2 linked regions of the Solanum lycopersicum genome follow. The protein of the gene in region 1 interacts with the protein of each later gene in a biochemical or structural test. Links are inferred from orthologs where the notes say so. Each region holds a gene or a part of one and is shown on either strand. Other genes may lie near its edges. The genes, in order: protein NAP1 and protein PIR.

What was found.
Region 2: the proteins of protein NAP1 (region 1) and protein PIR form a complex in vitro, tested with the Arabidopsis thaliana proteins (2 studies listed by BioGRID). The link is inferred for Solanum lycopersicum from reciprocal best matches to the Arabidopsis thaliana genes GRL and PIR121.

What each region holds. Positions count from the first base shown.
Region 1 is NC_090801.1:54,801,281-54,805,107, reverse strand, and holds part of protein NAP1, read left to right. Parts: coding exon 1-81; intron 82-288; coding exon 289-369; intron 370-469; coding exon 470-552; intron 553-3,464; coding exon 3,465-3,549; intron 3,550-3,827. UniProt on the Arabidopsis thaliana protein: Involved in regulation of actin and microtubule organization. Part of a WAVE complex that activates the Arp2/3 complex.
Region 2 is NC_090810.1:6,869,464-6,873,290, reverse strand, and holds part of protein PIR, read left to right. Parts: intron 1-781; coding exon 782-851; intron 852-946; coding exon 947-1,011; coding exon of another isoform or gene 1,012-1,048; intron 1,049-3,827. UniProt on the Arabidopsis thaliana protein: Involved in regulation of actin and microtubule organization. Part of a WAVE complex that activates the ARP2/3 complex. Interacts with the active form of RHO-family GTPases.

The sequences.
Region 1 (3,827 bases):
ATGCTTCTTGACCTGATGGCATTTCGAGAACACGCCTTGCGTCTAATATTGGATCTAAGCAGTACAGTGATTACCTTGTTGGTGAGTGATGATATCAACTTTTTATCTCCAACTAAAGTTGTTGTTAACACAAGAAAGGAACTTTATATAGCTTAACTTACTCTTTTCAAATAAAAAAGGACTGTTATAGCCTTTATAATTTTTGTCTTGAGTCTTGACTAATAGGTAAGCTGAGTCTTCTTATAACGAAATCGTATGTGATATATTTACATGTTTCTTTTGCTGCAGCCTCACCAGAACTCTCTCATACTGCATGCGTTTATGGACCTTTTTTGTGCTTTTGTTCGTGTAAATATATTTTCAGAAAAGGCAAGTACACAAACAATTCTCTATCTATTATTTTCTACTCTGTATATTGTTGAGATGACACTTCTACGCCGTAAACTGTTCTCTTTATCATCCATCACAGATACCAAGGAAAATGATGTTGCAAACATACAATTTGCTTCATGCCATGGCAAGAAATGATAGGGACTGCGATTTTTATCACAGGTGAAACTTCTTATGGATCTAGGCTTATTCTCATTTCTTATAAATTTTTTTTGAGCGGGGGGCTGAATAGGTCTCTTTAGCTTAATTTTGAATAACTTCAATATTTCTCTTTCTTTCACTCCTTAGAGTAATTTGTGTTACATGGCAAGGACTTAGGCTCTTTAGCTTCATTTTAAATAGATTCAAAATTTCTCTTTCTTTGACCCCTAAAGTAATTTGTGTTTCATGGCAAGGCATTGGTATCTTTAGCTTCAATTTAAGTAACTTCAAAATTTCTCTTTCTGTGAACCCCTTGAAGTAATTGTGTTACATGAATCTGATATATAGTTTGCATTTTGATATACTGCTTATTCTTTTCAAAGTCACCCTTTTGTCTACATGATGAACAACATGCCGTTGGTTGGACAAGTTTTCATGGTTACAAAGGAGTGGCTCTTTACTTGGTTATCAGTATCATCTATGGGGTTCTTCTAGGTTAGGACATCAAGCATGTGAAGAAAATGAGTTATACTTGATATCTGCAATGGGAAGTTTAGTCTTTATGGTGAGACTATTTCCAACGATGACTTTCCATTTGCTTTGAGCAATTGAGGGTGGATACAGTGAGCCAAATTTTGTAGATCCTCTTCTGTTATTTTAAATTTTTTATGAAGTAAGATGTCCATTAAAATTTAGATCCTCTTCTTTTCTAACATATATATTTGATCCATTTAGTAAAGCCTTGTTTTTCTGCTTAATACCTGCGATGGAAAGGAATGCTCTTCTTAGCCAGACAACAGTAGTTTTAATTAATTGATCATAATGTCAAAAGTATGAAATGGTGGTTGAGCTGGTGGAAAGAATAATTAGCTACATCCAGCTTTATGATATATGGTAATCTCTTGGTGGATTGTAGTTTCTCTGGTTGTTGTCAGAGGGCTCCGGGAAATTATGTTGCCCTTGAGAAAGCATGATCAGATCTAGAAGTTTATCATGATGTCAGGTTTGTGTGGCGCCCACAACGGGACGGCAGGCTGATGAGGGTGGATTAAGGAGAAGGATTGGCAGGGTTGTAGGTTGGCAAGCTTTTGAAGAAGGATGTGTGTATGCCACCTTAGGCGAATCTCATATTGGTAGGGGAGGGGAAAGTGAAGTCTTATATAAGACATATCACAGGTTCACATTGTACATGGGTTTTGGACTTGATGTGGCATAATTCAAGAAACAAATCCGTGAGATTTGTTGGGACAAAGTGGACGACATGTGCTATGGGATTAAGCTGCAACAACTATGGTATCGGAGACAAACCCTCGCAGTACGATGGTGTGGCAACCTTCAACCAGGATGCTGAATCCTTAATGGGGTTCCATGTGCTGACCATGAAAAAGGGAGGGCTTAAGAGAGCGGGTTAAAGAGAATGACATGTAGAGTTCTAACTTTTGAAAAAGGGATGCATATAACACCTTAGCCAAACCCAACATTGGTCTAGAGGAGAGTAAAGCTATATGAGACAGAGCATAAGCTCAAATGGTACGCGTGTTCTTTGACTTGATGTGATAATTCCAGGGGATCAGTTTGTGAGGTTTGTTGGGACAGAGTGGACATACATATCATATGAACCTAAATGCACTGAAGGGTTCTGTCTCCACAACAATCTTTTATTAGCTCCTAGCTTATTTCTCCGGCAACTGGTTGACATATCTGCCACTCTTTTGGGAAAGAACCAGTTGATATTAAAGATGGAACAGTGTCGTGCAATCTAAGAATAAAAGGTGCCCAGGGTTGAGGAAGTTGAGGCGCTTTTTCAGTGGCTGTGGAAGTACAATCAAGAACACGATGCTTGTGTGCTGTAAGTCTTCATCATATCTTTATTTGGTTCATGGAAACATATCAGATTTATGGGTTGAGTTCTGGACATTTCATGGGATTGGGAGGTAGTCGGAATATTGGATTCTGGTAGTATGCAAGGATTGGGCATACACCTCTGAGGGAGGAACTTTCAGTCTTTTCAGTATGAATAAATTATACAGTCTGTGCCGAAATAACGACTGGAGTGTCAACTTCAGAAGGAAGCTGGTTGATTGGGAAAATAGATAGTCTAATCCTACTAATTAGCAAGTTCGGCAAGAACACATTTACCATTTTTTAAAAAAAGAATGGGTAGGAGATGGGTCAGACATAGGGGTGGCATAGTGGAAGCATGAAGGAATGTATACTGTGAAATATGGCTACAGAATGCTCTCCGAGATGACAGTAAAGTCACAATATTACTTGTGACAAATGCTATGAAAACTGAAGTCCCATCTAGAGTTGCCTATTTTGAGTGGACTGCCCCTCATGAAGCATGCCTAACTATAACTTGATGGAAGGAGTTCCCCAATTGGAAATGGTTAACCGTTTGTTTTTGCATTGTGCTTTGACAACAGAGATGTAGTGCATATTTTAAATCTTTTGGGGTTCAAAAAGATGATGCCTACAATTCCAAGAGAAAGGGTTGGAAGTGCAGGAAAGCACAAAGGAACATCTTAAAAATTTGAAATGCTATTTCACATCGACTAATCCCCCCCACCCCCACCCCACCCCCACCCCCACCCCCACCCCAGCCCACAAAATAGAGAGGGAAAAAGATCTGATTGCCATACCTTTATGTGTTTTATGGGTCAAATGGACAAAACCAACAAGAGATGCTTTAAAGGAAGTGAAAAGACTCTACATGGATTGACACATGCTTGTCAACATTTTATTATGGTGTAACTTAAATGTTGTACATGACATAGATAACCTGATAAATTTTGTTAGTTCACAATAGTCAATTATGATGAGACATTCTGTATTTTGTGTATGCTGATCACTCTACTCTGAATGAAAGTGATTCTATATAAAAAAGAAATATAAGCAGTTCCGCTGATTTCTTTCTTGTTTTGCTTTTCCAGGTTAATCCAGTTTGTTGATTCCTACGATCCACCCTTGAAGGGTCTGCATGAAGACCTGAATTTTGTCAGCCCTCGTATTGGAGAGGTCTTTGCTCCTGAATACCGCATTCTTGTAGAGAAGTTAAATTATTCATTTACAATGTCAAAAGGAGTTCTCGTGTCTAACTTGCGGTACTAATGCTTATTTTTGGAACAAAAAGAAAAAAAAACCCTTTGTTTTATTGATAAATATCTTGTGCTAAATTACGGAGATATATATGTGTGTTGTGTACTTTTTACCTATTTCGGTTAGATGTAGGTATTTAGGAAAGAAAAAAAACAGGGTTTTTATTTTTAACAGTTTGAAATCCTTTATAACAGCTT
Region 2 (3,827 bases), on another chromosome or scaffold:
AGGTCTTCCTTAAGTTGATTGCAATCAAGAATTTCTTATTTGCATATTTTATTGAAACACTCTTAGTAGCATATTTCTGGGGTAATATCTTTTAAGGAGTTGTATATTCTTGCTCAGTGTATACTGAGTGTGGTCACTCTTTGCTCCAAATTTTTGTTCTGATTTTTCAATTTGAAAGAGTTCTTGAAAAGATAGGAGCTGTTGTGCCCCCCTAAAAAATTGTGTAACCACCAAATCTTAGAGGTAACCCCAACACCCCTTACCCAGAGCATCTAAGGGTGTGGAAAAGGCAAGATCCTGGTTTTGACCTTTGAACTACCAGTCTGCCTGGATGAATGGGCCAAATCTTGGTGGGCCCTTCACGGTGCAAAGGAGAGAACGATGGCCAAGAAGAAATGGTAAAAGCCACAGGTCCCACAAAATCCTATTTAATTGTTTGTTTTTTCTGGGTGCTTGCACTAGAGAAACAATTGAGTATCTCATGAAGCATCAATCATAAATTTTATGTTTATAATGAAGTAGCCTAAATTTGGAATGAGATGAGCCTGAATAGAGCATAATAAATGCGGAGGATTCTCATAGTCCACTAGACTAGTTAGGGATTAAGCTTAGTTGATCGATTGAATGAAGCAGCTTAAAGAAATCTGTTACATGGTGGTTCTCCATTTCCCCACTATTTTGTACTTCTCATAACACCAGGAAGTTCAACGTAACCATCCATTTAATAGAACTTCTTCCTATTTGAAAGTGTTTCATTTGTTTGTCATATTCAATATGCCAGGACATTCACACAAGTTAGTGTGCAGTGGCAAGATACAGATTCAATGAGAGAGGAGTTGGATGATTTACAGGTATATATCTACTTCTCGTGTATGTTTAGGTTTTTGAATAATGTTAACTTGCACGTATTTGTATGTGCTGAACATGAATTGTAACGTACTTGCAGATCTTCTTGAGCACGAGGTGGGCTATTTTGTTGAACTTGCATGTTGAGATGTTCCGTGTCAACAAGTATCCTTCAAATGTTGATTCTCTACCCAGAGGAATGGTGAATCAATGTTGCTGCACTGATTGAATTCTGTTGCATATGAATGTTATGTATTTATGACTGGATGCTCATGACCCTAAGATCTGTCATGATAAATCTTATGTTATTGGTGGCTAATCCAAAGAATAAAGCTCAAATGAAGTAAAAAAACTAAAACCTATCGGAGAAAGGCGGGCCTTTTTAAATTTAGATGCTTGCGCCAACTGATTAACCATTCTTGTATTTGATGCTAGACCTGACCTGCTATCTGATGAAATTAATTCCCTGCACAACATCAGTGCCTCTCCAGCAATTCTCTCAGCCAAGACTAAATATGATGACCATTCTGATGCAGATTGTGAGTCCGATCTTGAAATTGTGTTGCAAACACTACTCAGAAGTGTTATTCCAGAAGCAGAGAGACCACTGGTTTATCAACCTAACTATGACTTCTCCTCTCACTCTAGTAGTTCTCTCACCCATGGAACCAAGTAAGTTCGAACTCTTGCACCCAAGGGTGTTGCAATGAAGTGGTTGTGAACCTTGAGGTTTTGGTTCAAAACTAAGTGGAGACGGAAAACACTAGGTGATTGTTCCCATTTGTCCTCTGGCAGAATTACTTGGTACTTGTTGCTGGTGGGAGGTGGCAGGTATCCCGTGCAATTAGTCGAGGCGTGCGAAAGCTGGCGCGGACACCACGGTCATTAAAAAAAAAAGTAGGTTCGAACTCTCACACAATCACAACCCATGTGATAGTGACTTTGAGGTGGACCAAAATTGTAACCGTTAAGGATTGTAATTTTTCTGGTGTCAACATGTCACTGTTTGAGCATGAATTCTGAACATTATCCAGCATATGGAGCAAAGGTGGCAGCTGCAACTACAACAAAAAAATCAGCATGCAAACAAAGAAAGAAAAAGAGATCAAATAAGGATATAGAGTTGGAGAAATTAAAATTCTTGGTCAATTATGATGAAGTGAAACTCTGAAAGATGGGGTGATAGCACTGGAAGGGGTAGGTTTTTCAAATCCCATTCTAAATGAAGCTACAGATGCTCAAGTGGTATGTGTGGGGTTAGATGAAAGCAATAAAACAAAACATTGAAATTTTTAATCCGCAAGTTGAAAACTGATATACTCTGCCAGTATGCCTTCAAGAAACCAAATGAGGAATGGACATCTAGCTTATCTCAAGTGGGAGATATTGCATGCCCTCAAGATACCAATATTGAGGAATGGACATCTAGCTTTTCACAACAGGTGTTTGGAACTGGATGGATTGGCTGGGCTGAATTACAATCTAGTGGCAGTAGTGGTGGGGAGATAACACTATCGAACAAGAGAAGTTGGAGCTGTATAGGAGAGCAACACGGATCCTACACAATTTGTTATATGCTCGAAAGTGTCCAAGAGTATTTTAGGTGGTGTTGCACAGGGGTTTATGGCCTTCATACAAATCCTCAAAGAGCAAAACTTTGGGATGAGCTTGCCGTAATTATAGGACCATGGAATTATCAGTGGGTGATAGGGGGTGATTATAATGTTTGCAGATATGAGAGTGCATGTTTAAGCTGCACCAGAAGATCAAAGACAATGAGAGGCTTCTCAGAAACAATTGAAGATCTGTGCCCTATAGACATGCCTTTAGAAGGTGCAGCCTTTATCTAGTCTAGGGGTGAAAACACACTTTATCAAGAATAGACAAAATTCTAATTGCTAATGAATGGAGCAACACCTTCTGGAAGGTTAAACAGACGTTCTCAGATCATAAACCCATAATGCTTGAAGGTATTGAGAAATAAACTCCTCATACTTCAAAGTTGAAATTTGGGAACATGTGGCTACAAGTTGATGGGTTTATAGACTAAGTTAAGGTGTTGAAACTGATAGATAGTCTACCCACCTATATTCTGTCCCTATGTCTTATCCCCATGCTTGTGTTGAAACTGATAGATTCAGTTAAAAGGAATTTTTTGTTCTAACTTTGATGAATAGAGTTATCTAGTACCTGTTGTTGGTGGGAGGTGACAGATATCCCATGGAATTAGTTGAGGTGCGCACAAGCATCTGGACACCACAATCAAAAAAAAAAGTTAAAAAGGAATTTTCGTGAAGAAGGCAATAAAACTCACAAATTCCATTTGGTAAAATGGAAAGCAATAACACAACCAAAGTCCCATGGTGGCCTGGGAATCAAAGACCTCACGACCCAGAATGAAAGTATGCTTATGAAATGGCTAATGGAGGTACTCACAGGAGGATCAAACCCTTTGGAAGAAGGTGCTGAAGGAAAACATGGAGGGGTGGAGTCAAAGTTTTTACTGAGTTGAGTAGTCTCCGGCCCCTTATATTCTTTGGTGCACCCGTAGCGTTCCTTGTTGTATAGAAGATTAGGTGGAGTTTGTAGAGAATCATGTTTTTTTTAAGATTCTTTACCTTTTGGTATACCCCTTGTATACAGTCAGTTTTGGCCATGTTTATGTATGAAAATACATTTACTTGATAAAGAAAATGCTAAGAGATCTGATAGCTATAAAAGTGCGATCAGTAACCAGTTTGTGATGTAGCCAACTTGGATTTGTGATGTAGCCAACTTGTATGTCCTGCTAGATTGGCTCAAACAATTGGAACTGAATAGAATCTGTTTGAGAGGATCTTATATTAGAAAGGTAATCAACTTTCCAACCTTGATATCATTGGTCCGTTCTTTTAGCATTGTATTTCACGTGTCTGAAGTACCTTTTTATACTAAGCCACTTGATTGAGTATAGCACAAATGATGGAAAACTGACACTGTTG